Macaca fascicularis: one gene and its partners. The protein of the gene in region 3 interacts with the protein of the main gene of each other region in a pairwise test. Links are inferred from orthologs where the notes say so. Each region holds a gene or a part of one and is shown on either strand. Other genes may lie near its edges.

Region 1 (5,663 bases), on a different chromosome or scaffold from region 3:
CCCTGGAAAAACAAAATTTCCAAGACCACAGAGGCATTTTAAGAGCCAGGGGAGTCCTGAGGTGCGAGGCTGGGGCATACAGAGTAAAATACTAGGGGTGTGGAGTTACACTGAGGTCATGCCCAAGCCAGCTCACCAGCGAAGCTGTAGTCTCCGGACTTTCTCAGGGCCTCCACGACACACACAGCATTCAAATTCATAGAACCTGGACGTGGGCAAGAGGGAGAACACACACTTACGCAGGAAAACTATGCCATCCCCTGGAGGACTCACAAGCAAGGATGGGGCAAACAGGTGAGGTAATGCTGCAGATATTGGGAAGAGACTGGAGTGGAGACAGGCATGGGAACTGAGGGTGGAGCACGAAGAGAACACCTTGGCTTCTGGAGAGTCTGCCTTGGTCTCACCTGTCCCCATAGAGGAGGGGCTTGCTCAGACACTGGGTGCAGGCCTCATGGAACCACTGCAGGCAGCTCCGGCACTGCAGCATTTTCAGGTTCCACCTGAGGGGGAACATAGGACTTCTGGCCTCCAGAAACCCCCTTCCCCATAACTGCCCCAAACCCTAAACTTACCTCCCATCCCCCTGAGTGCTACCCTCATCCTGTTCTTTTTCCTTCATTTCCTGGGAGGCACCACCACATCATTCATTCCACAGTCTGCTCCCCCTCATTACTCACTCCCCAGGGCCACCACAGTAACAGTAACTCTGCTGTCGGTTGCTCAGATGTCCAGCATCCCAGTCCAGCCCCTTCAGTCCATATGGCAGAGAGAGCTTCATACCCAGCATGGCCCGGGCATAGGGGCCCTTCTTCAGGGCACCTCCCCTCTGCAGAGACAGGACAGGTGGATGACTTCAGAGGGGTGGGGAGAGGAAAAGGCTTGGGAGAGGATGTGGATGGGAGGCTCTCACAGGAAGGGGTAACAGGGAAGTGCCTTTACCTTGGTGGCGATCGCAAAGACACACTGGCGGCATACCCAGGATGTGCCCTCTCCCTCTCCAGGGGCTGGGGCCCTGGGAACATGGCAGTCCTGGTGATAAGCTGAAGAGTGATAATGTTAATAGTAGACCACTAATTGCATACCTGTGTGTGCTTGGTATTGGGACAGGAATAGTCTTTACCCATCTCATTTAATCCTTGACCATGTTCTTGATGAGAGGGTACATGATCCTTATTTTACGAGTCAGGGAACTGAGGCTCCTAGAGGTTAAGGGACTTGTCCAAGGTCATATGGTTAGAAAAGGATGCAGTTAAATCATCCTCTGCTTGCAAAGGTTACACCACCCCTTTCCATGGCTGCTTCTCCCTGGGCTGAAAGGGGATGAGGACTAAGATAGGGCTAAGCAGCCTGGCCAGAGCAGTGGCTTGGGGACTAAGGCCACGACAGGTGACATAAGGACCATCCTGGAGGGAAGAGCAAGCTAGACCATTCAGGTGACCTGCCCTCTCACCATGGCGACACTTCTCACAGCTGACCAGCCGGTTCCCAGGGACCACAGTCTCAGAGCGACAGACACAACAGAGGAGTTCCTCCCCAGGGAGGGCAGCTGTGAGAGAACACAGTGTCACGGGGCCTGCCCTTAAGTCTCTTTCTGCCCCTCTAAGCCAGGTTTGTTTTCCATGGGATGTGCAATCTCAGGTCTCTAGTCTTACCAGGGCTAATGTCTTTCCATAGAACCAGAAACTGCGAATCATCCTCAAACTGGACCAGACACACCTCTCTAGCACTGTCCACCTGGAATGGGTGAGCAAAGAGAATGAAATGGGAACCAGAATTAGATAAGGGAAATAGGAAAAAGATCAGAAGTAGGTCTTACCTTTTTGATGGTACCCAAGTATAGCAGCCCATCAGTCCATCTGGCCAGCACATCTTGACCCTCCCAAAGTCGAGGCCTGGGGCCAGAGGTGGGAGCAGGAGAAGCTGGGTCCCAAAGTGAGGAGGTACCAGAGCGGCTCAGCCGGGGGGGCTGCGCCATTGCATCCTGGGGGGGCCTAGCCAGAAAAGAAATGGGGAGGAGAAGGTTATGAATGCTCAGAAAGCTTCCCCATTTTTTTTTTCTGAGATGGAGTTTTGCTCTGTCGCCCAGGCTGGACAATCTTGGCTCACTGCAACCATCACCTCCTGGGTTCAGGCAATTCTCCTGCCTCAGCCTCCCAAGTAGGTGGGATTAAAGGTCTACCCACCACCACGCCTGGCTATTTTTTGTATTTTTAGTAGAGAGGGGGTGTTGGCCATGTTGGCCAAACTGGTCTCGAACTCCTGACCTCATGATCCACCCACCTCAGCTTCCCAAAGTGTTGGGATTACAGGCGTGAGCCACCGCGCCCGGCCAACTTCCCCATTTTCTTTGCCTATTTTGCCGTCAAGAATGAAGGATCTGTGCCCCCATCTCCAAATCCCTGAGACACCTGGATAGGAAACCACCAGGCACCCATCACCAGCTTCTTGAGTCCTCTTTCAACTCTAGTGACTGGCTCTCCTCACGGTAACTGCCCTCCCCCCAACCCCAAACCTAGTTGCTAGTTTCCCAGCTTCCAGAGCTCTCCTGGGATATTATATCCTGGCCTTGAAATTTTAGGAGAAATTACGGTTGTAGAAGCAAAGGCTACCACTCAGTTTAGAGGTATCATAATTAGGGTGTCCTGTTGCCCAGAGATGTGTTTTGGGACCTTTTCTGGAGATGTTTTCCAGAGCAGAAACGGCTGTCTCCCCAGGCCTGCGTGTCTCATTAAGAACAATCATCCTGGTGCCAGGTTATGTCAGGTCACCCTCAAATTCGGGGCTCCCTGCCCCCGGGTTAGACAACTTCTCCGAGTGCCCCGGGAGGGGGGCGTGTCCCAGTCCTGGTCTCCACTCCCCAGGACCGCAAGTCCGAGAAGGGACTTGAGTCGGCCCAGCTCGGACCCGAGGCCAAGGCGGCGAGGCTCTCCCGCCCGCGCCCCGCGCCGACCCCCGGCTCCCTGCCCCCCACCGGCGCCTCCTGCCGCCTCCTTACCGGTGACAGCTGGGGCCGCCAGGAGCCGGGCAGGGGCAGACGTAGGAGACCTAGGCGAGTCCCCCGCGCGGAGAGGGCACGTCCGGGCGTGGGGGGGTTGTGCAGGCGGAGGCCGGGGGGTCCCCAGGCCCAGCCCCTCCGTCCCGGCGGCTCTGGGGCGTATGACGCAGCAGCCAAAGCAGCAGCAGCGGCAGGAGGAGGAGGCGGCGGGGGGGAGGGAGGGGAGGGACGGACCGGTTGGGGGGGAGGGTGGTGGGAGGGGAGGACTGGGGGGAAGGAGGAGCCGGAGGGGGGGGCGGGCACCACCTCACCCCACCTCCCTCACCTCCGACAGGCCTGGAGGGTGCCGAGGAAGAGGCAGGCCCTCCACGGCTTGGGAAGCAAACAGTCGGACCCGGTGGGAGAGGGAATCCCCTCAGCCCCTTCCTCCGACCTGAGACTCGCCCTTGGGGCACGAGGGAATCCCCCCTCCCGGCAGCGCGCCTCCGGACTGGTCCCCCGCCCCATGCCACATCCGTTAACTGCCCCACCCCCCATGGTCACTCCAAGTCCCGCCCCCCGGCCCCAGTTCACGGCCCCGCCCTCCATTCACCCTTCTCGATGCCCCCACCACGCCCTCCTCCCTCGCGCGCCCCGCCCTCCACTCGCCGTTAGCCCCAGCCCCGCCCTCCCCGTGGCAAGTCGCGCCCCACCCGCCGCCCTTTTGCGCACGCGTGTCCCCTCCTGCGCGCGGCACCTGGGAGGACTGAGCTCCTCCTTCACGGGGCGGCGGCCGTCGGCGGTTGGCGAGAGGGAGTCGGCGGGCGTGCGCGCCGCTTCCCGGGTACGTCCCGCCCCGTGCTTCCAGGGCTGGCGCAAAGACGAAGGGGGCAAGGACCCGAGGCGGTGACGCCACCGAGAGCCAGCCAATGGGCAACGAGCGGGCAGAGCCCCAGCCGTTCGAACGGAAAGGCAGGGAAAGGGCGGGAGGAAAGAGCCAGCAGTTTGGGAGCGCGCGCTAGCCCCGCCTCTGGACTCCGGGGTCCGGTCCCCATTTGCCGACACCCACCAAAGGAACGTTGCTCCCTGGGGCTGGGGTGGCCGGCGGAAGGGTGAAACTTATCTAGATAACTAGTGACCAAGGAGAGGGTGTGGATAGCTAGAGGGCACGCCTCCCTGATGTGAGGGACGGGGGAGGGGGTATTAGCAGAGGGGAAAATGATCCAGACCATGGTCCAGAACCGGTGAGAGCTAAGGAGAGGAAAAGCCCAAGCCCTCAGCCCCCGCTCCCGCCTCCCACACAAACGTTTGGCAGAGGGGACAGATCACAGCTCCCACCTTTACAGATATGAAAATATCTGCCTTCTTGGGCAGATAAACCTTTATTTAAAAAAAAAAAAAAAACTATTCTTTATTTGATAGCCCTGGGACATGGTGCCCTCTACCCAATAAAGCACCCTCCAGCAACCCTCCCACTCCTCACCCAATACATACACATACAGATACAGACACACACACACACTCCCAACACAAGATCTGGATCCGTCTTCACTTCCTGTTGGCCTGGGCAGTACCAATAACACACTGGTTCACCTGGGGGTAGACAGGATAAAAGTTTGCAGAGTAACCAATACATTTTCCCCAAGATCTCCTTCCATCCTCCAATGCTAGGGCTGCCCTCAGAAATACTGAAATAAGGCCTCCAAAGGCAGGTTCAGGCTGGTCCCAGTTATGGTTGGTTCTCCTCTGCACACGGTTTGGAGGAGGTTAAAAGGCCTGAGAAGAGATAGAAGCCCCAGAAGAAAATACAGGAGCAGAGAGAGGAGGCTTTCATTTCCAGCAATACCCTGTACTAGAGACCTCCAACCTCTCTCACTGTAAAATACTTAAACCGAGATAAAAGAGTAATAACACCCATTTAGGAACTAGGACTCCTTAGAAAATGGATCAGTTGAAATCTGGGGAGGAAATGTACAAGTTGAATCTGAAAAGACTGCTTGAGTTCTGTCTAAAGGACACTGGCGCCAACCTGAAGGAGGTTCTTTTTTTTTTTTTTTGAGACAGTCTTGCTTTGTCACACAGGCTGGAGTGCAGTGGCTCGATCTCGATGCTCACTGCAAGCTCCGCCTCCCAGGTTCATGCCATTCTCCTGCCTCAGACTCCTGAGTAGCTGGGACTACAGGCGCCCTCCACCATACCTGGCTAATTTTTTGTATTTTTAGTAGAGACAGGGTTTCACCGTGTTCGCCAGGATGGTCTCCATCTCCTGAGCTCGTGATCCACCCGCCTCGGCCTCCCAAAGTGTTGGGATTACAGGCGTGAGCCACCGCACCCGGCCAGGAGGTTCCTATTGGCCCAAAATGGGGCAATTTGAGCATCAGAAAGAGGAACGACTGTGGCTGGGCTGGGTGGCTCACGCCTGTAATCCCAACACTTTTGGTGGCTACAGTGAGCTATGATTGAGCCATTGAATTCCAGTCTAGGCAACAGAGCGTCTCTGTCTCAAAAAAATAAAGATAAAAATAAAGATAACCCTCAGATAAACATTCATTGGTCACCTTTGGAAGCTGCTAGGGTATCAACTCAATACTGAAAATCAATAAATAATTCAGCATTTATCTTGTTTTTCCTGTATGAACTGAATTTCAGAGAAACCAAGTAGATGGCAAGGCAAATGTCTTCATAA
Region 2 (5,694 bases), on a different chromosome or scaffold from region 3:
ACTTGATGACAATTCAAGTAGAAAACAAGGTTTTTTAGCCGACTGAAATCATAGCAAGGGTCAAAAACAAGGGAGTAAGAAAAAAGTGAGGTTTAACTTTATAAATATTATTTCTTTTCAGCTCAACATAAACTTTTAGATAGATTTGAAAAACACAACAGGCCACGTCAGGAGGTAGTACACATTACTGGAAATCTTCAAGCCAAGTTTGATAATGACTCTGGATGTTGAAGAGGAAGTAGTGGAATCTCATATAAGGTTTAATAGAAGAAATGACCCCAAATGTTGCCTAGATTCCATAGTTTACTTAATATGGGTATATGTAAGTACAGTTTACAAGGTAAAAATAATTTCATTCCAATTGATTTAGTAGACTGACTAGTTAAGTCTCTGAAAGAGCTACTCAATGAGGAGTTTGTATTTAGGCTTTTTTCCCCGTTTTCTTCTATTAGTCCAAAGATCTTTTTTTTTTTTTTTTTTTTTTTTAAGAACGATAAGGCCAGGCGCGGTGGCTCACGCCTGTAATCCCAGCACTTTGGGAGGCTGAAGCAGGCAGATTACCTGAGGTTAGGAGTTCGAGACCAGCCTGACCAACATGGAGAAACCCCGTCTCTACCAAAAATACAAAATTAGTCAGGCGGGTGGCACATGCCTGTAATCCCAGCTAAAGGAGGCTGAGGCAGGAGAATCACTTGAACCTGGGAGGTGGAGGTTGTGGTGAGCCAAGATTGTGCCACTGCACTCCAGCCTGGGCAACAACAGCGAAACTCCATCTCAAAAAAAAAAAAAAAAAAAATGATGATAGTACTTTCTCACTTCTCATTACTAACTTAAAAACTATTTTAAATTTGTTGTTATAGAAGTAATATATGCTCCTTGTAAATAAAATTAAACCTTTTTGATGAATATAAAATGAAAAGTAAAGGCTCCTCTCCTGCTTTCCCCCCAAATACATTCCCCAAACTCTCTTGGACTTCGCAAGCCTCTAAAGGCCCTCCTTTGCTGAATCCCTTGGAGACTTACACTCTGTGTAAGTCTGTCCGGAGCTGCACGCCCCGGCCATAGCGAATAATAATTAAAGATTAAACGCCTGAGCTATATTCATTTCCACCCCACACCTTCTCCCTAGATTTACCTTCTTCCCTGTATTAATACCGCCATTAAAAGATGGCGCTCTTCCTGCTTCTTCTTCATTCATTTTTCCCACACCCGCGAAAAGACTACCTGACTGCGCAGGCGCAACATGACGTCCGACCGGAGAAACCGAAGCCTATCTGGCCACACCTTCCGCAATGAGGTCATTTCCGCCTTAGCCCAACCCCTTCCCCTCCAAATGTATATAAGGCATTGCATTACCACCATTAAACGAGACTTGATCAGAGCACTGTCTTGTCTCCATTTCTCCTGTCTCTTGTTCCCCAAATTCCCACCCCCTCCTCCAGGGACTGCTCTGACTATCCCGTGGGCCGGGATACGTGGCGCCCAACGTGGGGCAGTATACCACAACGGTTTTTACAGTATGCCACATGTTTGCTTCCCAACAGGACCAAAAGCTCCTTAAAGGTAAGATTTGTCTTTTACAAATCATGTAACTCATGTACCAAATACAGACACATTGTAGATATAAAACATTTAACTTTTGATACTTCTGAAACAATAAATAGCAGTATTATTCAGATGCTAAGTCTTATTTTCACTTCATATTTAAAGTGGACATTAGTTTTGCCAATCCTGCATTCATTTACCTCCTCTGACCTATCTACCCTGGTTATCATTGGCTTATGGTCATCCATTCAGTTGTACTGAAAGGAGAATAAGATCTCTAAATCAATCAGATATTCACAATCCCACAGGCATAGTTTAACATTGGGCATGTAATCCAATCTAGACCAAAGAAGTACAATCAACTTGAAGCTGAGAGAATATAAAGGACCCTGGATACTGCAGCCATCTTGGGAGCAAAGAATAGAGCCTATTCAAATATGGAGCCAACAACCAAAGAGCAAGTGTGAGAGACAGACAGGGAGAAACGGAACCTGGTGACATCATTTAGCACTCCCTTTAAGTATTATCATCCCATTTTTGATCTCAGAATTGTCTGACTTAATGGTAGGCACAGTGGCTCATGCCTGTAATCCCGGCACTTTGGGCGGCTAAGGTGGGATCACTTGAGATAAGGAGTTCGAGACCAGCCTGACCAACATAGTGAAACCCCGTCTCTACTAAAAATACAAAAATTAGCAGGGCATAGTGGTGGGCACCTGTAGTTCCAGCTACTCGGGAGGCTGAGGCAGGATAATCATTTGAACCAGGGAGGCAGAGGTTGCAGTGAGCCAAGATCACACCACTGCATTCCAGCCTGGGCAACAGAGTGAGACTCGGTCTCAAAAAAAGAACCGTCTGACTTCAAGCCTTCTTTCTTCACCAAGCTTACTACTCTAACTCCCTAAGTCTGTCTGTACATTTGAGGAACTCTTCTTATCAGGCCTGAAAGTGTAGATGGAAAGGAAAAGAGAAAAAAAGGGATTATTTGAATTAAAAATATATAAAAAGATATAAATACACATATATATACTAGCAGACTTTGAGCTATATATGGACATGAAAATGGAGATGGCATGAAATATTTTATGAAAAAGAGGCAGATGTTTGGATGTGCAAAGGCTGTGCAAAAGCTTTATAAGAAAGGGCATCTGGGGTGACCCTTGCATTATTTGTCAGGTGTGAATCTCTTCTGCCACTCTCTCTTATTCATTAGGCGTAATGGCCATCTTTCAGTTCTTTAAAAAGTAAGTTTCAGCCTCAAAGCAATTATGCCACTATCCGGATGCTCTTTCTCCAAATCCTCTTATGACTGTTAATTTTTCACCCTTTAAATCTCTGTTCAAATTCCACCTCTTCAGAGATGCCTTTTCAGTCCAACCAACCTAAAGTGGGCCTTTCTCTCTTTCCATCACAACAGTTTGTTTCCTTCAAAGCTGTTATCACCAGCTGTATTTACATTTAGTAGTTTATCGACTGTTTCCATCACTAGAATGTAAGCTCTCTGAAAGCAAGGATTTTTGTCCTAAAAAACACCTCTTTTTCTTTATACCCAATGTCTGGCACAGAACGGTAGGTACTAGATAAATTAATATTTATTGAAAGAATGAGTACCAAAAAGTGATAAGATAGCTTGGGAGGGCAGTCGGCATTGTAGGCAGGATTCCTAGGGAAGGCGCTAGAATAAGGAAGTAGGAAAAGGCAGCAGGGATGGACGCTAAATAGGAAACTGAAGGTTTACGTCGGCCGGCATAAAGGTGTCGGACCGGGGCTTCAGGGCTCCCTTGTCGACGCGTGGGGTTGGCGGAGGGGCATAAATCACTGAGTGACCAACTGTGGGCGTTCCCTTCAGAGAAACCAAACGCGACAGTTGTCTTCAAACCCCGCTCTGTCCCGTGCCGCAGACTTTACACGGCTGTCTTCCGTGAAATCGCTAACCCACGGTCACCAGACTTATCGCTCGGGCCCGAGCCCCTCGGGAGCCAGAAGCGTGTTTGAGAAACAGACATTCTCCGCCGGTCCCAACAGGGGTCCGACACTAGCCCGTTGACGCGCGTTTCACCGCTCCCAGCCCGCCGGTGGGCCCGAACCGGATCCTTACTTACGCTTGCCTCCGAGCTATGAGCCGATGCATGGGAGTCGCCATCTTAGCGCGGTCAAAGCCGGCCGCGCAGGGTTTTGGGAAACTCCTCGGAAGGGCGGGGCTTCCAACCGGCAGGCCGTAGACGTAGGCGAGGCCAGACAGGCCTCTAGGGGTTCTGGGGCAGCCTCCGCGGCAGGATCTCAGTGCCGGCTCGGGAGGGGAGGGAGGGGAGGGAGGGGAGGGAGGGGAGGGAGGGGAGGGGAGGGAGGGGAGGGAGGGGAAGGAGGGGAAGGGAGGGGATGGAGGGGAGGGGAAGGGAGGGGATGGAGGGTCGGAAGAGGAGGGGAGGGGAGGGGCTGGTGGATCGGGAGGGGCCGGTGTCTCCAGTGTGGGTCTCGGGTTCTCTGGCGGAACCGGGTTTCAAAGGATGATTACAGGCAAGAACATTATCTGTGGAAAATGAGGACCACATTCTCGAACGAGGGATACACATACAAAGACAAAGAATGAAACTGTGGTGTTCAGAAACTTAGAAGTAGTCTGGAGAATAGAAAGGAATTAGTTGACCAGCAATTGAAAGAATGACTTTAGCAAGCCATAGAGTGCAAACATACACGTTATTTCTGTTTTGTATGTATTTCACAGGGTTGTTACAAGTACTAAATGGGACTGTGTAAAGCTGCTTTGTCAAGCAGAAAAGGACTATACAAATATTTTACAATATTTTAGCTGCACCTACATCTAATGTCAGCTCACGGAGCTATTATTCTCTTAAAACACGTTCTCTGAAATATATATAACTTTCTGAAGTGTATGTGTGTGTGTGTTTCCGGGTCATCCATATTTTTTCCTTTTTTTTTTTTTCCATTTGAGACAGAGTCTCGCTGTGTCGCCAGGCTGGAGTGCAGTGGCGCCACCTTGGCTCAGTGCAACCTCCAGGTCCCTGGTTCAAGAGATTCTCTTGCCTCAGCCTCCCGAGTAACTGGGATCACAGGCACACACCACTATGCCCAGCTAATTTTTGTGTTTTTACTAGGGACGAGGTTTCACCATGTTGGCCAGGATTTTCTCGATCTCCTGACCTCATAATCCGCCCGCCTCAGCCTCCTAAAGTGTTGGGGTTACAGGCTTGAGCCATCGCGCCCAGCCATATGTTTTCAATTAATAATTAACACTTAAAATGTTTTAGGAGCTGAGGACAGAGCATTTGAACAAATAAAATCCGTGTACACATGGAACTTTCTACACACCATGAATGAAAACTATTCCCATGGGATAAGTACTCTTAACGAAAAATATCTCAGAGTAAGGGATTAAAGAGTGATTAGGAGTTAGGGAGAGTGATGATGTGACCTTTGAGCACAACTTGTTCTTCAAAAATCTTGGGCTCTTACGTGTTGTGTTTTCTAGCTTGCTTTTTTCATTCATCAGTGTATTTATGAAAATGTTTCCCGGCCAGGCGCAGCGGCTCATGCCTGTAATCCCAGCACTTTTGGAGGCCGAGACGGGTGGATCACCTGAGGTTGGGAGTTCCAGACCAGCTTGACCAACATGGAGAAACCCCGTCTCTATTAAAAATACAAAGAAATTAGCCGGGCATGGTGTTGCATTCCTGTAATCCCAGCTACTCGGGAGGCTGAGGCAAGAGAATCACTTGAACTCGGGAGGCGGAGGTTGCAGTGAGCCGAGATCGCACCATTGCACTCCAGCCTGGGCAACAAGAGTGAAACTCCGTCTCAAAAAAAAAAAAAAAAAAAAAAAAAAAGAGGCCGGGCGCGGTGGCTCAACCCTGTAATCCCAGCACTTTGGGAGGCCGAGACGGGCGGATCACGAGGTCAGGAGATCGAGACCATCCTGGCTAACACAGTGAAACCCCGTCTCTACTAAAAAAATACAAAAAATTAGCCGGGCGTGGTGGCGGGCGCCTGTAGTCCCAGCTACTCGGGAGGCTGAGGCAGGAGAATGGAATGAACCCGGGAGGCAGAGCTTGCAGTGAGCAGAGATCACGCCACTGCACTGCAGCCTGGGCGACAGAGCGAGACTCCGCCTCAAAAAAAAAAAAAAGAAGA
Region 3 (4,951 bases):
CCTGTAATAATATTATTCTTAATTTTTTTTTTTTTTTTTTTTTCTGAGACGGAGTTTCACTCTTGTTGCCCAGGCTGGAGTGCAATGGCCCCATCTCGGCTCACCACAACCTCCACCTCCTGGGTTCAAGGGATCCTCCTGCCTCAGCCTCCTGGGTAGCTGGGATTACAAGCACGTGCCACCACACCCAACTAATTTTGTATTTTTAGTAGAGATGGGGTTTCTCCATGTTGGCCAGTCTGGTTTCAAACTCTCGACCTCAGGTGATCCGCCTGCCTCGGCCTCCCAAAGTGCTGGGATTACAGGTATGAGCCACTGCGCCTGGCCTTTTTTTTTTTTGGATGGAGTCTCGCTCTGTCACCCAGGATAGAGTGTGGTGGCACAATCTCGGCTGACTGCAACCTCTGCCTCTCGGGTTCAAGCAATTCTCTGCCTCAGCCTCCCAAGTAGCTGGGATTATAGGCACCTGCCACCATGCCCAGCTAATTTTTGTATTTTTAGTAGAGATGGGGTTTCACCATCTTGGCTAGGCTGGTCTTGAACTTCTGACCTTGTGATCCACCTGTCTCAGCCTCCCAAAGTGCTGGGATTACAGGCATAAGTCACTGCACCTGGCCGGCCCTCTTAATGTTTAATAATTACTTATTAAAACATGTAGCATATTTACATTATTTTAATCAATTGTATAATTATGATGATTCCATTCATAATTTTTAAATTTTTATTTAAAAACTTTGTTTCAAACAAATATAGTAGGATAATCAATAAAAGATGTTTGTGCATAAAAATATGTTACGGTAAGATGGCCAGGCGTGGTGGCTCACATCTGTAATCCCAGCACTTTGGCAGGCTGAGGCGGGTTGATCACTTGAGGCCAGGAGTTCAAGACCAGACTGGCCACATGGTGAAACGTTTCAGCCTCTACTAAAAATACAAAAATTAGCCGGGCATGGTGGTGGGCGCCTGTAATACCAGCTACTTGGGAGGCTGAGGCAGGATAATCGTTTGAACCTCGGAGGCAGAGGTTGCAGTGAGCTGAGATCACACCACGGCACAACAGCCTGGGTGACAAAGTGAGACTCTGTGTCAAAAAAAAAAAAGTTACAGTAAGATAAAATTCAATGGGGGAAGTAAATGAAAAAAGGAGTTCCAGGAAACAGGAATAGTACAAGAATTCTAACTTAAAGGAAAGCACAGTCGTGTTTTGTTTTTTTTTAATGGATGGTGGTGGTATTAAATCATTTTTGCATTAAGATTACATGGGATGCAATTAGAATAATGATGTAACCATTTCACTTAGAAATGTCATTATATATGCCCAGAAATGACATCTTTTACAACTATTTAAACTTTAACAAAAAATTTTAAGTCAGCCTAAAAATGTGCATGGGAATATGTGGTTTTTAAAATATTTCAGGGTGGGGCGTGGTGGCTCACATCTGTAATCCCACCACTTTGGGAGGGTGAGGCGGGCAGATCACTTGAGGTCAGGAGTTTGAGACCAGCCTGGCCAACATGGCAAAACCCCGTCTCTACAAAAATACATAAATTAGCCGGGCGTGGTGGCACGCGCCTATAATTCCCACTATTCCGGAGGCTGAGGGAGGAGAATCACTTGAACCCAGGAAGTGGAGGTTACAGTGAGCTGAGATTGGGCCATTGCACTCTGGCCTGGGCAACAGAGAGAGACTGTTTAAAAAAAAAATTAGGAGGAAAGCAAGCAAAAAAGTATGAAACCCTCTGATCTAGAAAACAGAACACTCTGCCCCAGGAGAACTGCTCTTGCTCCATGTGCTGACAAATTAAGCATCATCTGGTAATTCAACTGTACTGAAAAATCTACCTCATCACTGATGAGCACATGAATTCCTGTTGGCCCCTGCTTGTAAATCTGGCTGATCTGGCAAGGGGAAATGCTGAAAAGCTGAGCAATTTTTTCTGTCAATTCAACAGCTGTCAGTTCTTCTAGATAGATGGCATGGTAAACTGCAAAAGGGAGAGAGCAACAGGAGTCAGTACAAAGTTTGTCTGCTCTTACACATAACTTGATCACTAGGAATGTCCACTTTTCTGAAGGACTCAGAAATCAGACTGCCTAAGCTCAAACCCTGGCTCAACCACTTGCAGCTGTGTGACCTAGGGCACGTTATTTAACATCCCTAGGCCTCATTTTTCTCGTGTAAATACTAGAGATAACAGTAAAATCCTCCACAAAGAGGAGATATTAGTTGTAAATATTAAAGCATATAAAAAGTGTTAAGAATAGCACCTGGATGGGCATGGTGGTTCACACCTATAGTCCCAGCAATTTGGGAGGCTGAGGCAGGGAGATCACTTGAGCCCAGGAGTTCAAGACCAGCCTGGGCAACATAGGAAGATCCCATCTCTACAATAAATAAAACAATTAGGTAGACGTGGGGTGCACACCTATAGTTCTAGTTACTCGGGAGGCTGACGGGAGAGAATCACTTGAGCCCAGGTGGTCAAGTTTGCAATGAGTCATGATTGCACCACAGTACTTCAGCCTGGGTAACCGAGTGAGACTCTGTCTCAAAAAAAAAAAAAAGGCCGGGCGTGGTGGCTCAAGCCTGTAATCCTAGCACTTTGGGAGGCCGAGGCGGGCAGATCACGAGGTCAGGAGATCGAGACCATTCTGGCTAACCCAGTGAAACCCCGTCTCTACTAAAAATACAAAAAACTAGCCGGGCGAAGTGGCGCGCGCCTGTAGTCCCAGCTACTTGGGAGGCTGAGGCAGGAGAATGGCGTGAACCCAGGAGGCGGAGCTTGCAGTGAGCCGAGATCGCACCACTCACTCCAGCCTGGGTGACAGAGCGAGACTCCGTCTCAAAAAAAAAAAAAAAAAATAGCACCTGCCATATATTAGGAGCTCAATAAATGCTAGTGATTATTGTTACTTCTAGCAAACGCTAAATCTGCTGTTTGATAGCTTCCCATCATACATGCCCATAAGTTACCTCTTCACCTTTCTTCCTATCTGTCCTGGTGTGTCCAGAACAACCTACCGAAGAAAGTGCCATTTGAGTCTCCATCCTCCTGCTTCTGCTGCTGTTGCTGCTGCTGTTGTTGCTGCTCCCTCAACTGCAGTGACTCCTGACAAACATAAATGGTTAACCTTGGACGCACCATCCTAAGGGGAGGAAAAAGGCTAATTAGTCTTACATTCTTTATGGTAAGCACAATAAAAAGGGAGAAATTGTGTTTCTACATTAATCATATAGAGCAGATGAAAACTGGAAGCTCACTGGCCAAATGCAATTAATTTGCTATGTTTTATTAGTTCCCCAGTGGTAAGGGTTTTTTTTCCTTAAGTGGAATTAGTTCCAATATGAGACATCACATAAAGCTCTGAACTTTTGGCTTTTCCTGAATATCTAGCAATCTTAGGCCTGCATTCTCACATGAAAACAATCAGCTGTTCTTACATAATGCATATATTCTTCACTATACCCCAGTCTTGACTGCCATTCATTTACATTACCTGTATGTCCTCTATAGTCATTTGAGTTTGTGGCCTTTGGTGTAAAAGTTAGACATAGTCAAAATATAAAAGCCTTATGTCTTTTTGGGTCAGGTTCAAGATATACTTCTTACTAAAAAATACCAACACAGTAAACTAGATCATCTTATTTCTCTCATTATCTTCTCCTAACTAGCCTAAATCCTTTTTCTGCTCTTCTTAGAGAAAGGTATTCAACTACCTCTTGATCTGATCCTCTGAATCCTTCCAATTTCTAAACATTCTTTAGATAATATGCTTTAAAAAATGAAAGATCGGCCGGGCACGGTGGCTCAAGCCTGTAATCTCAGCACTTTGGGAGGCCGAGATGGGCGGATCGCGAGGTCAGGAGATCGAGACCATCCTGGCTAACACGGTGAAACCCCTCTCTACTAAAAAATACAAAAAAGTAGCCGGGTGAGGTAGCGGGCGCCTGTAGTCCCAGCTACTGGGGAGGCTGAGGCAAGAGAATGGCATAAACCCGGAGCTTGCAGTGAGCTGAGATCCGGCCACTGCACCCCAGCCTGGGCGACAGAGCAAGACTCCGTCTCAAAAAAATAAATAAATAAAATTAAAGATCAATTATTTTTCCCCAAGTCATCAATCCCTGATTTCCTTTCTTTCCTTAAAATTTTCCAAGCTTCAACATCCCTTATGATGTAGACAAAAACAAATATGACCAGGCACGGTGGCTCACACCTGTAATCCCAGCACTTTAGGAAGGTGAGTCGGAAGGATTGCTTGAGCTCAGGAGTTTGAGACCAGCCAGGGGAACATGGCAAAACTCCGCCTCTACAAAAAGTACAAAATTAGGCGGGCATGGTGGTGCGCACCTGTAGTCCCAGCTGCTCAGCCATCTAGATAGGAGGATGGCTTGAGCCCAGGAAATCGAGACTGCAGCGAGCCATGATTGCATTGCTGCACTCCAAGCTGGGTGACAGAGCAAGACCCTGTCTCAAGAAAGAAAACCCAAAACAAAAGCAAACCAAAAATAAATACTGCACAATCTGTTTTACTATGCAGTCACTGATTTGGTTCTGTTGCCATTGACCTAAATGCTTTTTTCATCAGTGTTACTACTACCTATTTAAAATTGTAAATCCCAAAAGAGGACCAAAAATTACCATGTATTTTAACAACTGCAGGGAGACACTTAAGTAATTACTACCCACGTTTGCCTGGCCCGGTGGCTCATGCCTGTAATCCCAGCACTTTGGGAGGCCGAGACGGGCGGATCACAAGATCAGGAGAGCGAGACCATCCGGCTAACACGGTGAAACCCCGTCTCTACTAAAAAATACAAAAAATTAGCCGGGCGTGGTGGCGGGCGCCTGTAGTCCCAGCTACTCGGGAGGCTGAGGCAGGAGAATGGCGTGAACCCAGGAGGTGGAGCTTGCAGTGAGCCAAGATCGCACCACTGCACTCCAGCCTGGG
Region 4 (4,091 bases), on a different chromosome or scaffold from region 3:
CGTAGATGACTTTGAGGGATTTAAGACTTCAGTGGAGGAAATAAAGATAGGGTGTGGAAATAGCAAGTGAACTAGCATTAGAAGTGGAGCTTGAAGATGTGACTGAAATGCTGCACTCTCATGCTGGAACTTGAATGGATGAGGAGTTCCTTCTTACAGATGAACAAAGAAAGTGGTTTTTTGAGATGGAATTCACTCCAGTGAGCACTTTTGTGAAAATGCTGTAAACATTGTTGAAATGACATCAAAGGATTTAGAACATGACATAAAGCATCAGAATTTGAGAGGATTAACTCCAATTTTAAAGGAAGTTCTTCTGTAAGTAAAATGCTGTCAAATATTATCACATACTTCAGAGAAATCTTTTGTGAAAGGCAGAGTCAATCAGTGCAGCAAACTTCATTGTTGTCTTACTTTCAGAAATCGCTATAGCCACCCTAACCTTCATCAACCACCACACCCTATTCAGTCAACGGCCATCAACATTGAGGCATAATCCTACACCAGCAAAAAAATTAGGACTTGCCAAAGGCTCAGATGATTGTTAGCTTTTTTTTTTTTAGCAAGAAAGTACATTTTAATTAAGGCATGTACATTGTTTTTTAGACATAATGCTATTGCACACTTAATATAGACTCTGATACGGTGTTAATGTAACTTTTATATGCAATGAGGTAGGAAATATGTGTAACTCACTGTATTATGATACTTACTTTATTGCGGTGGTCTGGAACTGAACCCACAGTATCTCCAAGGTATGGTTGCACTCTTGTATTTCTGTGATAACCTCCCACCCTTATACTCTTTTCTTATTGTCCTTCACTGGACCATGTGTATTTTATCTTACCTTATTCCTCATTTTAGTCTCCAGTGGCTGGCATGTATAAACCCTGAATGTTTTTAAAGATAATATTTTAAAAGATCACTTTAGTTATAATGTGGCTTCAGTTGATAGAAGAAAGTTTTTTTTTTTTTTTAATTTTGAATAAAAAAATGATTACTTCTCTCCACCCCCTCTGTAGTTAAAGCCTTCCATCTGAAGTATGATGAAGTTCGTCTGGATCCAAATGTTCAGAAATGGGATGTAACAGTGTTAGAACTCAGCTATCACAAACGTCATTTGGATAGACCAGTGTTCTTACGATTTTGGGAAACGTTGGACAGGTAATTCTGATTCTAAAATATGCTTATGTGTGTTTTATTGTAATTTTTCTGTCTTAGTTAAATTTTAAGTTGCATAAATTTGTCAGTCTTGTTCTCTAATTCCCTTCTTTTAACATTAACTTGATGCTTATCTGTAGTAAATAACAATTTTTTTTTGTATAATTACTTTAGATGGAGAGTTTAATATAGCCTGATAGAAGTAACACTAAACTGAGTCAGAACTTAGACTTTAGTCTTGGTTTTGTAATCTGTCTCTAATTATCTGTGTGATCTTTTTGAACCTTATTTCCTATCCAAGGAACTTTTGATTAAGAGAACCCTATGTTTTTTTGCAAGTACTGAAAGATCTCTGATTCTGGATTTATGTTATGGATGGTTCACAAAAGGAAATGAATTTTTAAAATTTATTTTAATTATTACTGTAGTGTTCATAAAACCCTTTACATTAATAAAAGTTTTGTAATTGGCAAATTTAAGAACAGCGTATGATGACAGTAAATACCACTGAATCGGTTCTCTTTGAAGTATGCTCCTTAAAAGTCTGTAACATTCTTGGTGCGAGTCTCTCACAATATATGTGAAACATATATATTATTTTAGCTAGAAGCTCTTAGATTATATTACTTAATAAGAGGAGTGTTATTTCTAGCTTTTTCCAGAAGTCCTTATATTTCCAGTTTTCTAGAAAACAGCATTTTATTCTGTTGATTTTAAGTTTTAAGAAATGTCAGCCTGTTTTTACATACATTAATCTAAAAATTCTAAAATTCCTATAGTCATTATAACCTACCATATTTTTTTTCAGGTACATGGTAAAGCATAAATCCCACTTGAGATTCTGAATTATTTGGCTCCTCCATTTCTGGAAATTGAGACTCAAGCTTTATGAATTTATCAAGAACTTAAAAATGAAGAAGGTCACAGATTGATCTTTTATAAGACCTTATTTGATGCTTTGTGCTTCAAGGAGATGATGCCTGTCATCCATATAAGCAAACTTTTTGGCTTACAACTATTTTTTTAATATTAGCCTTCTAGTCTGTAATGGAAATTGTATATTTTGATAGAAGTTTTTTCTCCATTGGTTAAATTAGCATTACTTAAAATTTGTTTTAGAAAATAAATGCAGGTTATAAATGTGTGTATATTTAGAGATTATAAAAGGCTCTCTGAGCCATCTTCTGATTTTTCATTGCTCTATAATTCTTTTTACTAAAAATACTATGTTGTGAATGGTATTAAATTTTAGTCTCTGGAACATCCAAAACCAAGCAAAGGGATGTGACTATTTTGAATGAATCAAAATGTCAAAACCTGTATGTACACTATATCTACACTTACTCTTTATTTAAAAAGAATGATGAAAAATCAAGAACAATTCTTCAATTTGAACTGTTCAGCCTTTCCAAGATTTCTTTATTTACAAATGATTACATTTAAATGAATGTACATTCTTCTCACTGACTTTGGTGATTTTGAAACCTAGAATGATGTGTTTCTATCTGTGATATCTTTCCATTTGAAAAAAAATCTCAAAACACAGATTAAAACCACAATAGGCTGTAGTATTTTTTATTTTGGGAGCCAGAGTATGATTTGGGGAAAGAATATGTATCAACCCTGTTGCAGTATAACTTTAAGCTACTTTTCTCTTTAGTCCACCTTTGATTCTAATTTTTATGGTATAGGATTTTGAATCTTCTATTTTAGGCTTGTCAGTCTTGGAGTTGTTATCTTCCACTATCCCTAAATATTGATAAACTCCCAGGCACCAAAGAAAACATTTGCTTAATTGTCTGAAAAGAAACAAGAGAAAAACACTGGTATTTTTATGTGTGTATTCAATATGGTGTAAAATATGAAAACTATATTTTAACTTAGTAAAATATTTTTTACTAACAAAATGTTGCATCCAAGGTACATCAAGTGACCATTTTCCTTGAACCTTGATTTCAATTTTTTTTTTAACTTAAAAGCAACTAGGAAGCTTTGCTTTCCTAAACTGTTTTTGCCATTGGAATTTTTGCTGATCACAGTCTTATGTCATTTTTTTTCTCTGTTTTTATTTCCAGCAGTTTTCTCCAAGGTTAACATATGTTTGGTAAACAGGCCTTTCATAGGTATTAAGCTGACATTATCTAGCTTCTTAATGAAATTTAACACTGTCACAAAAATGGGAAGTTACTATTTTTTTAAGTAGTCACATAGTTCATACCACTAGTAACTAGAAAAGATATTTATTCACATGGTATTTACAAGGCTCTTCAGAAGAGAACAGTCAGCATTTTAAATTACTAGATTTTAGCATACTTACAAGGTTTGAACAGATTCTACCCCTATTTTCCTACCTTCTTAGCATCTTCTTTCCTTAAAGATAAAAGAAAAATTTGTTCACATTAGGCTTTCTTAGCATATAAATCTGTTTCCAAAATAAATTACATGTTGTGTAAACTTTCTCCATGATGAAATAGTCAAGGACCAGAATCTGTGATATTTTTATGTAAGATTACTTGTCAAGACTACTACAAGTCAATATGAACTACCTTCCCATAAAGATTTTTGGTATTTGTACTTATTTATGAACTTTACTGGATACGGAATATGGTTAAAATTAGGAACATCTACTTTGAACGAGGTTTATTTTTCTATTTTGAATTTGCCTTATGTATATTCAAAGGCTTATGGAAATACTGTAAAGGAACATTAGGAAAAGGACAAATACGCTGTAACCATCTATCTTAAAATCAGACCCTTAGTATAAGTACCTCTTTTCTCTTTTTCTCTTTGATAATTTAGTCACTTATTTAGGTCCATGTGATTAATTTCATTCCATTATTTTTTAGCTGTTTGTTCTAAAAAACAAAAATTTTCAGCCAGTCCCTATTTATTTCCCCCATGCCATGGTCCTATATAGCAGTACTTAACAC
Region 5 (4,951 bases), on a different chromosome or scaffold from region 3:
TCTCGGCCAAGAACGGATTCTTTCAAGCACATTAGTGCCCTTTTGAGACGCCTCTCAAATATCTCCAGTTTAATGTCTCTGCAAACTCTAGATTTGTATATCCAAGTATGTATGTATGTATTCTTGATATCTCTACATGGATGTCTAATAGATGTTTCAAACTTAATCTGGCCAAAATAGAACTCTAGATTTCCTTCTTGCCAAACCTGCTTAAATTTACCTTCCTAGGATAAGGTTTTTTAATTGCTGAATCAATAAGTACAACAATTATCATTCATTTCTTACTTTCCCCACCTATCAACATTCACATCTTACAGATTATACTTCATCACAACTTTGAGTCTTTGCATTAGCTTCTAATATTCTCTGGAATTTCCTTCCCCATGATCTTCAAGTGGCAGACTTTTGTCTTGAGTTAGGGTTGAACTCAAATGCCACTCCTTAAACAATTCTTTTCTGATCATCCAACATAAAGTAACCACCACAAATCAAAACAATTCTATCCATATCGCTTATTTAATCTCTCTTCTTCCTATTCTTCTCCCTCCCTCCCTCCCTTCCTTCTTCCCTTCCTTCCTCTGAAATTTTTATTTTCCCTATCAAATAAGTTCTGATCACAAGTACTTTTTAAAAACAGTATCTCACGCCTGTAATTTCAGCACTTTGGGAGGCCGAGGAGGGTGGATCACGAGGTCAGGAGTTCGAGATCAGCCTGACCAACGTGGTGAAACTCCGTTTCTACTAAAAATACAAAATTAGCCAGGTATGGTGGCACATGCTTGTAATCCCAGCTACTCAGGAGGCCAAGACAGGAGAATCACTTGAACCTGAGAGAAGGAGGTTACAGTGAGCCGAGATTGCACCTCTGGACTCCAGCCTGGGTGAGAGAGCAAGACTCTTTCTCAAAAATAAATAAATAAATACAAACCAAAAATAAATAAAGAGAGTATCTGGCATATTGTAGGTGTTCAATGAATATTTGTTGAATGAAAAAAGAATGATTAAGACAGTATATTCAGAGAGATCACTTATTGCAATTTCCTCTGACCATGCCAGTCTAGATTCTGTCCCTACTTGTAATTAATTATTCTTACATCTGTATTCCTGTGCTTCTTTGTGAATAGTCATACTGCCATTTACTACTATATTTATTTAATCACAATAATTTATGCCTACACTTCCCTGCTTGAAAAGGGCTTGCTTGTGTCTCTATGGAAATGTTAAGTAACATTATTCAGCACATGCAACATGAAAGGTGCTGGTCTAAGTGTGCTCTGTATGGGTTTACTCTTTTCATGCTGTTAACAATCATTGAGATGGATACTAATGTTATATTATCTAGATTTGCTATATAGGAATATTGGAGCATAGAGTGATTCGTTTGAAGTTGTACAGCTAGTAAGTGGTTGAGCTTTGATTCAAACCCTGGCAGTCAGCTGGGTACTTGCATTCTTAGGCAACAGGCTGCCCTGTCTCTCAAATCTAGTGTCTTATAGCTATCCCAAGAAGGTTTATTGAATTGAATTTAATCACATGCTAAACTTTGTGGCTAAGTGTCTCTCATATCTAGCATGGGTTATATTGATTTTTCTCAATTTAGGTGAGAGAGTCACTAATTTAGTTTTCTTGGATACTACCAACTGTCTTTCCAAAAAGATAATACTAATTTAGGCTGTTAGTCCATTTAATTTTAATCTATCTTCAATTTTATGGAGGGGAAAATCCAATTAACAGATTCTCGCAGCATTGAAAGGTGTTAGTCGTGCTTTACAACACAAGGTAAAGCAAGTTTTATTTGTACACAATCACTGATATTCTATCAGAATAAAAGATACATATACTTTGTAACTTGGCAATCTGCCCTGTAAAAATCTATCCTACATAATTACTTTCATTAGTGCACAATATATATGTACAGATATATTTACTGAAGCATTTTTTAATAAAAGGAAAAGAAACCAATTAAACAAAAATCATATGTTGTGATTGTTCATCAATAGAAGGCAGTTAAATAAATTATGATGTATTCACCCAAATGAAATACTATACAGAAAGTAAAAAAGTGAGGTGAAATTCATTCTTTTTTTTTTTTTTTTTTTTTTTTTTTTTTTTTTTTTTTTGAGACGGAGTCTCGCTCTGTCGCCCAGACTGGAGTGCAGTGGCGCGATCTCGGCTCACTGCAAGCTCCGCCTCCCGGGTTCACGCCATTCTCCTGCCTCAGCCTCCCGAGTAGCTGGGACTACAGGCGCCCGCCACCACGCCCGGCTAATTTCTTTTTGTATTTTTAGTAGAGACGGGGTTTCACAGTGTTAGCCAGGATGGTCTCGATCTCCTGACCTCGTGATCCGCCCGCCTCGGCCTCCCAAAGTGCTGGGATTACAGGCTTGAGCCACCGCACCTGGCCCATTCTTCTGATTTTTAAAAATTATCGTGATAAATGGGTAAATAGAAAAAAGCAGGTTGCAAAATTATGTATATTATAGAATTCACTTTGATGAAAGCAAAATTAAAGAGTCAACCTGCGTGTATGGGTACACATGTATTATATAATTCACACATCTAAAGTAAAGAGCAAAATTTCTCCCATTTTAATCTCCCGGACCCTCTATTGACAGTTTGGTGTACATGTCTTCAATTTTTCTTTGGATATACAGGTAATAATGTCCTGAAATAAGTCACAAATTCCATGTGAGAGCAGTTTAAGAGCCAGGGAAGCTCAGACCCTCATCTAGGTGTATGCTGTTCTCTGTGACCATTGCTATGGTTAAATTCGAGCTGATAGTAGAGTCTCATTGAATTGTCCCAGCTTGGTCACAACCATACTGCTGGTGTGTCCAAACTTGAACATTTAAATAAAGAGGAAATGGTTGTGTGTTCCATTTGAGGTTAGAGCTTTAAAGGAGAGCAGTGTCACCCTTTGAAGCTAGCCATGATATTAAGGTAACAGTTTTTGAGGCATTCTCAGGGAAAGGTGAATCTTGGGCTTAGGAGTTTAGCTGCCTCTTTCCACATGAAACATTTCACTCTCTTGCCAAACGTTATGTGTCTGTGCTTGATTTTAATGGAACCTGGGAGTTCATTAGTGGAATACTCATTCCTTTGGAGTCGTTATGATGTTGTTTTAGGAGAGAAGGGAGAAACTGCTTCTGGGAGTACTCTCAGGGTAATTATCTCTCACTTACTAAATTACATTACCTCGCTAGAATATTTCACTCCATCCACTGTATGTTCAGAACCATACTCATTTGAACTGCCCCAGTGAAAATGGAACTGAAAGAGCCTATAGCTGTCGGAGAAAGGACCACCTTTCAGCACTGGAAGAAAAGGGAACCGATTGTTAGTCTGATGCTCCGCAAACTCTAGCTTATCTTTGCATTTAATACAAACCAACACTAAATTGTGTTGACTAGAAGTGAAAACAAACATTAGTGCCTACACTTTCATCTTGTTTTACCCCACATCTATGAGGATGACAGTCATATGTATGGTACACACCTGACTGTGGCATTGATGAGATATTCCATGAGTTATATACATTTCCCAGCACACGAGCTATAATTTTACCTATTTCCAACTCCTAGAAGGCATATTGCAAGGTGAGTGAATTATATCATTACAGGGCTGTCCTTGAATCTCCTTTTATTTGCAAATTTATTCCTTCATTCTTTCAACATAGACAATATGCATCAAAAATCTTTAGTAGTTTATTTTGAGTAATGAACCATTCATCACCTACTCTGCAACTGATGAAGACACAACAGTGTATATTGACAGCTTTGTTGAGAATCCCTGGCCAAGGACCAAGAGAGAGTACCAGTGGGGCAGTGGGACACTTTTAAAACTTTGTTTGGAGAGCCTATCCAATGATAATATTAGCTAAATGCACATCATACCAGACCTAATCTAATATTAATAATGGACATAGCCCCAAAGTACTTAAAATTTAGGCTTCAGAAGCTCGCAAACAAGTTTAGCATTTTAAATCAGTAGAACTGTTTTATGGAATTGTCATTTAATAAAATATTCAATAAACCTTCATGAAAAGCTAACTCTGTAGCAAAATTTGTTCCAGATTCTGGAGTATAAGGATAATTCAGTCACTGTTTTGTTTTTCTTTTCTACTGTGCTCATTCATCTTCATCCCAATTAGAAAATATTTTTCTTTTCAGTTGTTATATTTGTAATGACTGGTTCACTAGACCTTTCTGGATAAATACTGTTTATTCAGAGAGAGTGAAGTGAGCACACAGATACCAGAATGACCAGAAGAGATGTGATGGTGACTTTGAGAAGAAAGACTGAAAATACAGAGCTGGGAATTCCAAAAATTGTCTTTACCACCTGGGCATTTTCCAGAAGTCCAAGATGCCTCACTAGATTACAGTAACGCTACACACAAGCACAAAAGACTTAGAATGGGTGTCATGTTTCTCGAGTACTATTTTTTAAACTTCCCCAGTAGACTGTAAGAAAAAAAATATCAGCAGGGTCTTTCAGCTCACCTGATCGGTTATCGTTGTCCTCAAAATTTACATGGAAGGAATGTCCCACATTGATAATTTCTTTGGCTGTGGCTGGGTTGTAGGAGACACTAATAGGTTTCAGAGAGGTGTCATGTTTGGCTTCACTGGTTTTAATATCAACAGGGGACTGGTTATTTCCATTGGCAATGGGATATAGCTTGCTCCATTGTTCAGGACCTACAAGGACAAACACATGTGTAAAATCAATACTTTATCAAATGCTTGATTCCAAGTTTTAGGAGTGTAGTTACCTGTTTGCTTACTAGATTAGGGTTTAAGTGTATTAAATGATATTCTGTTAAGATTAATACAAATTCTGTGTTTGAAAATGTCCCTTTTCTTTTCTTTCTTTTTTTTTTTTTTTTTTTTGACAGAGTCTTGCTCTGTCACCCAGGCTGCAGTGCAGTGATGTGCTCTCGGCTCACTGC
Region 6 (5,397 bases), on a different chromosome or scaffold from region 3:
CTTGCCTCTTCCAGTTTCTGGTGGCTGCTAGTATTCCTTTGCTTATGGCCACATTACTAATCTCTGGTCATTGCCTTCTCTTCTTGGTGCACCGACTCTCCCTCTCTTATAAGGGCACTTGCGATTTAGATTTCAGTCTGCCCGGAAAATTAAGTCGAAAAGCCTTAACTTAATCACACCTGCAAAGACCGTTTTACTTTATAAGGTAACATTGACAGGTTTCAGGGATTAGGACTTGATACATTTGGGTGGCCATTATTTAGCTTCACACAGAGTCCAAAATCTTTGCATACAATTTCAGGAAGATCATGGATTCCAGGTAGGCACATCTGCTCTGGAATTGCATTTCACCACAGATACCTTTCGACAGATATTGGAGACAGGCTCATTTACTTGTTCACAAACCTCGCTACACCTCAGAACCAACCGTAGGGCTGGTTAAAAATACTAAATCAACCCAAATGTCCATCAGTGACAGACTGGATTAAGAAAATGTGGCACATATACACCGTGGAATACTATGCAGCCATGAAAAAGAATGAGCTCATGTCCTTTGTAAGGACATGGATGCAGCTGGGAACCATCATTCTCAGCAAGCTATGGCAAGAACAGAAAACCAAATACCGCATGTTCTCACTCACAGGTGGGAATTGAACAATGAGATCACTTGGACACAGGAAGGGGATCATCACACACCGGGTCCTATTGTTGGGGGGGGCGGGATAGCATTAGGAGATATACCTAATGTAAATGACGAGTTCATGGGTGCAGCACACCAACATGGCACATGTATACATATGTAACAAACCTGCACGTTGTGCACATGTACCTTAGAACTTAAAGTATAATAATAATAATAATAATAAAATACTAAATATAAAACCACACCCCAACCCCTAGTCCTAGTAAATCTGAATTCACCAGAATTGGGGCCCAGAGCCTACATTTCTTTTTTTTCTTTCTTTTTTCTTTTCTTTTTTTTTTTTGAGACGGAGTCTTGCTCCGTCGCCAGGCTGGAGTGCAGAGGTGCGATCTTGGTTCACTGCAACTTCAGCCTCCCAGGTTGGAGCGATTCTCTAGCCTCAGCCTCCCGAGTAGCTGGGATTACAGGCACGCACCACATGCCCAGCTGATATATATATATATATTTTGTATTTTTAGTAGAGACGGGGTTTCACCATGTTGGCCAGGATGGTCTCTATCTCTTGACCTCGTGATCCGTCCGCCTCGGCCTCCCAAAGTGCTGGGATTACAGGTGTGAGCCACCACGCCGGGCCAGAAGACGCATTTCTAACAAGCTCCCCTAAATGACTCTGATGTCTTGCACCCATACTTGAATGGGTATTGATTGAGAGCCTTGTTCTCCAGCTCTCCGCTCTGTTAAATGGACATACTGATACTTCCTTCACAATAAAAGAGGAGATGTCTGTGAAAGCCTGTTTCCGCAATGCACGTGCTAATGCTCTTCCCGCCCCTTCCCCTCTTCCCCCTCTTTCTCCTATACCAAGGTGAAGAGCTTTTATTATTCACTTGATTTTGGACCCAGTTCGTGTTTAATGCACCTGGCCTAAGATGTAGCGTTGAGCCCAGGGAGAAGGGAAGGGTTGGGGGAGGAAGAAAGAGTCGCAAATTCCCGGGTAACAGGCAGATTGGCTCCATAGGTCTAATCAAGCTGCACTTGACGCTCCGCGGGCCTGCTGCGCCCCCGCCCCCTCGGGCGAAAACTCGCCTCTGCCCAAGGCTGTGCCGGGCGTCCGCCCCCGCACTTCGCTGATTGGCCGCACTGGCCCGCTCGTCACGCTCTTTTGTCTCAGCTGGCCCAGGATAAAAGCCGCCGCGGCTGCCTTGGGAACCGCGCTGTCTCGTCTCGGCTACCCCTGGTTGGGCGGCCGTGCGAAGCAGCTCCTTCGGGCAGCCCCTGGTCGCTTAGCGGCCAAGGAGGCTTCAATTCTTTGCCCCCTGCAGGGCGGAGGAGACCAGAAGGCGGAATCTACAGCTGGCGACGCGGGAGCATCAGCTGCCCACCAGCGGAGCACAGGTAAAGAAGGGGGGTGCGATTGCCCGGCGGGGAGAGGGGTGGGGGAAGACCCACCAGTGTTGGGCGGCGCCCCGCTTGGAGAATCGGTGACTGCGAGGCAGGGGTAGGAGTACTCTCTTGGCCCGGCTGCGCTGAGGGAGGAGGTGGGGTTCACCTGGATACTGCGGACTGGGTAAGATTTGCCTGGATTTGGGGGTGGGGGGCAGAGGCGAGGGGTAGCGGTGGGGCGGGGGGGTGGGTAGGAATCTCAAGCTGTTTGCTTCGAACCTCCTTTGCATCTACTCATCTCTTTCTGGGAGGAATATGTGGGTGGGTGTGTCCAACTCCTATTCCCTTTCTCCGTGGCAGGCCATCAAAGCCGCATCTGAACTTCAATTCTGTGCAGCTGATTGCAGAGCTGGTAGGCCGACGGCTTCCTGGGGGAGATGTAATGCTGGGGGTGGGGGGCTGGTCTCTGGCTTATAGTCAGGAGGGGGCAGAGAGAATTTTTCGCCTGGCAACAGCGGAGGTTGTGGGTAGCAGGATGATGGGTGAAGCTGCTACTAACCCTTCCCTTCTCTGGCCTTCTCCGCTGTGGCGCAATCTTGAAACCTCGAGGACCCGGATCTGCGACCCCCTGTGGACAGAGGTTGACCGTACCCGGAGAGGAGCTTTCCCACGGAGGGCACTGGTTGCAGAGGCTGGAAATGAAATAAAGGCGCGCTCTTGTTTCAGAGTTCGTGTAAGAATCTGAGAAATAAAGAGGGAGACGGGGGTGGGGGGCACTTTGAGAAGGGGGTGTGGTTGAGACCAGAGACCATGAGGTTAATGAGATTTTATTTCCACAAATCTGCGATCATTGTACTCTATTTGGAGAGCCCAATATCAGCTCCAGACACTGCTACACCTAGAATTTGAAGCAACAGTTGCCCTCCCTGTTGGAGGACTGGTGGGAGGGATGGATGTGGCTGCAAAAAGCACCTTGCTAGCACGCAGCCATCGGGTAGCTCTGGGAGGTTGTAAGTGCCAGTCTCCTACAGGATTATTTTTAGGGTAGTGGGCAAATATAAAATGTACTGCAGGATATTCAGGTAGGGAGAGAATGCAGCTGCAGCCTGCTCCCTTATTAACCAGCTCCCCTTTCTTTTTTACAGCCCCTGCTGAGATAGGAACGCAGAGCCACCCCCTCTCCTCTCCCGCCTGCAGATTAAGCTTCTCTAAAAAGTCTAGGCATCTTATATTCAGATACCCTATCGTCGTCAGTCATGGCTAGCATCATTGCACGTGTCGGTAACAGCCGGCGGCAGAACGCACCCTTGCCGCCTTGGGCCCATTCCATGCTGAGGTCCCTGGGGAGAAGTCTCGGTCCTATAATGGCCAGCATGGCAGACAGAAACATGAAGTTGTTCTCGGGGAGGGTGGTGCCAGCCCAGGGGGAAGAAACCTTTGAAAACTGGCTGACCCAAGTCAATGGGGTCCTGCCAGATTGGAGTATGTCTGAGGAGGAAAAGCTCAAGCGCTTGATGAAAACCCTTAGGGGCCCTGCCCGCGAGGTCATGCGTGTGCTTCAGGCGACCAACCCTAACCTAAGTGTGGCAGATTTCTTGCGAGCCATGAAATTGGTGTTTGGGGAGTCTGAAAGCAGTGTGACTGCCCATGGTAAATTTTTTAACACCTTACAAGCTCAAGGGGAGAAAACCTCCCTTTACGTGATCCGTTTAGAGGTGCAGCTCCAGAACGCTATTCAGGCAGGCATCATAGCTGAGAAAGATGCAAACCGGACTCGCTTGCAGCAGCTCCTTTTAGGCGGTGAGCTGAGTAGGGACCTCCGACTCAGACTTAAGGATTTTCTCAGGATGTATGCAAATGAGCAGGAGCGGCTTCCCGATTTTCTGGAGTTAATCAGAATGGTAAGGGAGGAAGAGGATTGGGATGATGCTTTTATTAAACGGAAGCGGCCAAAAAGGTCTGAGTCAATGGTGGAGAGGGCAGTCAGCCCTGTGGCGTTTCAGGGCTCCCCACCGATAGTGATCGGCAGTGCTGACTGCAATGTAATAGAGATAGATGATACCCTCGACGACTCCGATGAGGATGTGATCCTGGTGGAGTCTCAGGACCCTCCACTTCCATCCTGGGGTGCCCCTCCCCTCAGAGACAGGGCCAGACTTCAGGATGAAGTGCTGGTCATTGATTCCCCCCACAATTCTAGGGCTCAGTTTCCTTCCACCAGTGGTGGTTCTGGCTATAAGAATAATGGTCCCGGGGAGATGCGTAGAGCCAGGAAGCGAAAACACGCAATCCGCTGTTCCTATTGTGGTGACGAGGGTCACTCAAAAGAAGCCTGTGACAACGAGAGTGACAAGGTCCAGGTTTTTGAGAATTTGATCATCACCCTGCAGGAGCTGACCCATACCGAGATGGAGAGGTCAAGAGGGGCCCTTGGCGAATACATTGACTTCTCTGAGCCACTCTAAGGAACCAGCTCCCAGATTTCAGTGAACCCTTACCTATATTCAGCATCCAGTAGTGGGAAAACTGGGTTGGGGTGGGGGCGGGGCTTCTAACTGCATGAATTAATCCACAAAGTGGCTATCTTTTGGGGTGGAGGAGAAAGGGTCTTGGATACCAGCACATTGGAGGGAGATAGCCTGACCTCTGTCCTTGCTCCTTCTCCCTGCAGCCTACGGGTCTGTTTTCTGTGTGTGCTCACTTCCTTGACAGCTTTATTTTTTGTGAAAGTGGTATAATTTATTGTTAAATCTTTGAACAATAAAAAAGTACAAAAAGTGAAGTACAAATTACCCAAATCTTTCCACCCTTATGTAATCATGGTCAACCCTTTGATGAGTGCCCTTCTAGATATTTCCCTATACCTATGTACCCAGATAGATATATGTATAGATAAAAGTGATGAAATATAAGTGCTGTTCTATACTCTGTATTTTTTCACCAAACAATATATGTTGTGAGCTGCTTTCTATGTCAATAAATATATATATCAGCATCTACCTTATTGTGTCTGTGCTGTTATTTTAGGAAGAAGTAAAAAAATATATAGTAAACTAAAGGGAGTTGTACTCTGAGGTGGAGTTTTTAATCAACCGCATTTTGCAGATGAAAAAAAAAATAAGAAATGGGCTGAGAATATTTCCCAAAGGTAAAAGGACAGAGTCCCCTTACCACAACTAACCTGTCCCTTCGCTCAGAGAGTCAAATTGTGACACCCACTTGTTGACAAAACACCAGTGCTTTCTTCTCTGATATACTCAGGTGTCTGACGGGGGACGGGGGAGTCTGGTGCTGGGGTAATAGCCCAATATGGGGATTCCAGGGGCTTCATTTCTGTTCACTTTGGGGATGGACAGTTCTTCATCTGGGCA

The links.
Region 1: the proteins of TFCP2 (region 3) and PHF1 interact in binary tests that used the Homo sapiens proteins (3 or more experiments, as listed by UniProt). The two-hybrid records come from large-scale screens. The link is inferred for Macaca fascicularis from reciprocal best matches to the Homo sapiens genes TFCP2 and PHF1.
Region 2: the proteins of TFCP2 (region 3) and ZCCHC10 interact in binary tests that used the Homo sapiens proteins (3 or more experiments, as listed by UniProt). The two-hybrid records come from large-scale screens. The link is inferred for Macaca fascicularis from reciprocal best matches to the Homo sapiens genes TFCP2 and ZCCHC10.
Region 4: the proteins of TFCP2 (region 3) and CDC73 interact in binary tests that used the Homo sapiens proteins (3 or more experiments, as listed by UniProt). The two-hybrid records come from large-scale screens. The link is inferred for Macaca fascicularis from reciprocal best matches to the Homo sapiens genes TFCP2 and CDC73.
Region 5: the proteins of TFCP2 (region 3) and carbonic anhydrase 1 interact in binary tests that used the Homo sapiens proteins (3 or more experiments, as listed by UniProt). The two-hybrid records come from large-scale screens. The link is inferred for Macaca fascicularis from reciprocal best matches to the Homo sapiens genes TFCP2 and CA1.
Region 6: the proteins of TFCP2 (region 3) and ZCCHC12 interact in binary tests that used the Homo sapiens proteins (3 or more experiments, as listed by UniProt). The two-hybrid records come from large-scale screens. The link is inferred for Macaca fascicularis from reciprocal best matches to the Homo sapiens genes TFCP2 and ZCCHC12.

The regions. Positions count from the first base shown.
Region 1 is NC_088378.1:138,279,845-138,285,507, forward strand, and holds the start of PHF1 (PHD finger protein 1), read right to left. Parts: upstream 3,861-5,663; 5' UTR 2,999-3,860; intron 1,995-2,998; 5' UTR 1,979-1,994; coding exon 1,820-1,978; intron 1,738-1,819; coding exon 1,656-1,737; intron 1,550-1,655; coding exon 1,454-1,549; intron 1,314-1,453; exon of another isoform or gene 1,128-1,313; coding exon of another isoform or gene 1,124-1,127; intron 1,044-1,123; coding exon 943-1,043; intron 830-942; coding exon 681-829; intron 504-680; coding exon 408-503; intron 206-407; coding exon 137-205; intron 3-136; coding exon 1-2. Other genes in the region: kinesin-like protein KIFC1, read right to left, coding at 4,526-4,570. UniProt on the Homo sapiens protein: Polycomb group (PcG) that specifically binds histone H3 trimethylated at 'Lys-36' (H3K36me3) and recruits the PRC2 complex. Involved in DNA damage response and is recruited at double-strand breaks (DSBs).
Region 2 is NC_088380.1:139,542,385-139,548,078, forward strand, and holds the start of ZCCHC10 (zinc finger CCHC domain-containing protein 10), read right to left. Parts: upstream 3,701-5,694; 5' UTR 3,689-3,700; coding exon 3,648-3,688; exon of another isoform or gene 3,644-3,647; intron 1-3,643.
Region 3 is NC_088385.1:57,949,611-57,954,561, forward strand, and holds part of TFCP2 (alpha-globin transcription factor CP2), read right to left. Parts: intron 3,149-4,951; coding exon 3,024-3,148; intron 1,987-3,023; coding exon 1,844-1,986; intron 1-1,843.
Region 4 is NC_088375.1:50,859,702-50,863,792, forward strand, and holds part of CDC73 (parafibromin), read left to right. Parts: intron 1-1,022; coding exon 1,023-1,164; intron 1,165-1,969; coding exon 1,970-2,006; 3' UTR 2,007-4,091.
Region 5 is NC_088382.1:95,204,712-95,209,662, forward strand, and holds part of carbonic anhydrase 1, read right to left. Parts: intron 4,701-4,951; coding exon 4,503-4,700; intron 3,315-4,502; coding exon 3,196-3,314; intron 1-3,195. UniProt on the Homo sapiens protein: Catalyzes the reversible hydration of carbon dioxide. Can hydrate cyanamide to urea.
Region 6 is NC_088395.1:125,151,358-125,156,754, forward strand, and holds ZCCHC12 (zinc finger CCHC domain-containing protein 12), read left to right. Parts: upstream 1-1,854; 5' UTR 1,855-2,038; intron 2,039-2,386; 5' UTR 2,387-2,438; intron 2,439-2,635; 5' UTR 2,636-2,759; intron 2,760-3,171; 5' UTR 3,172-3,282; coding exon 3,283-4,491; 3' UTR 4,492-5,025; downstream 5,026-5,397. UniProt on the Homo sapiens protein: Transcriptional coactivator in the bone morphogenetic protein (BMP)-signaling pathway. It positively modulates BMP signaling by interacting with SMAD1 and associating with CBP in the transcription complex.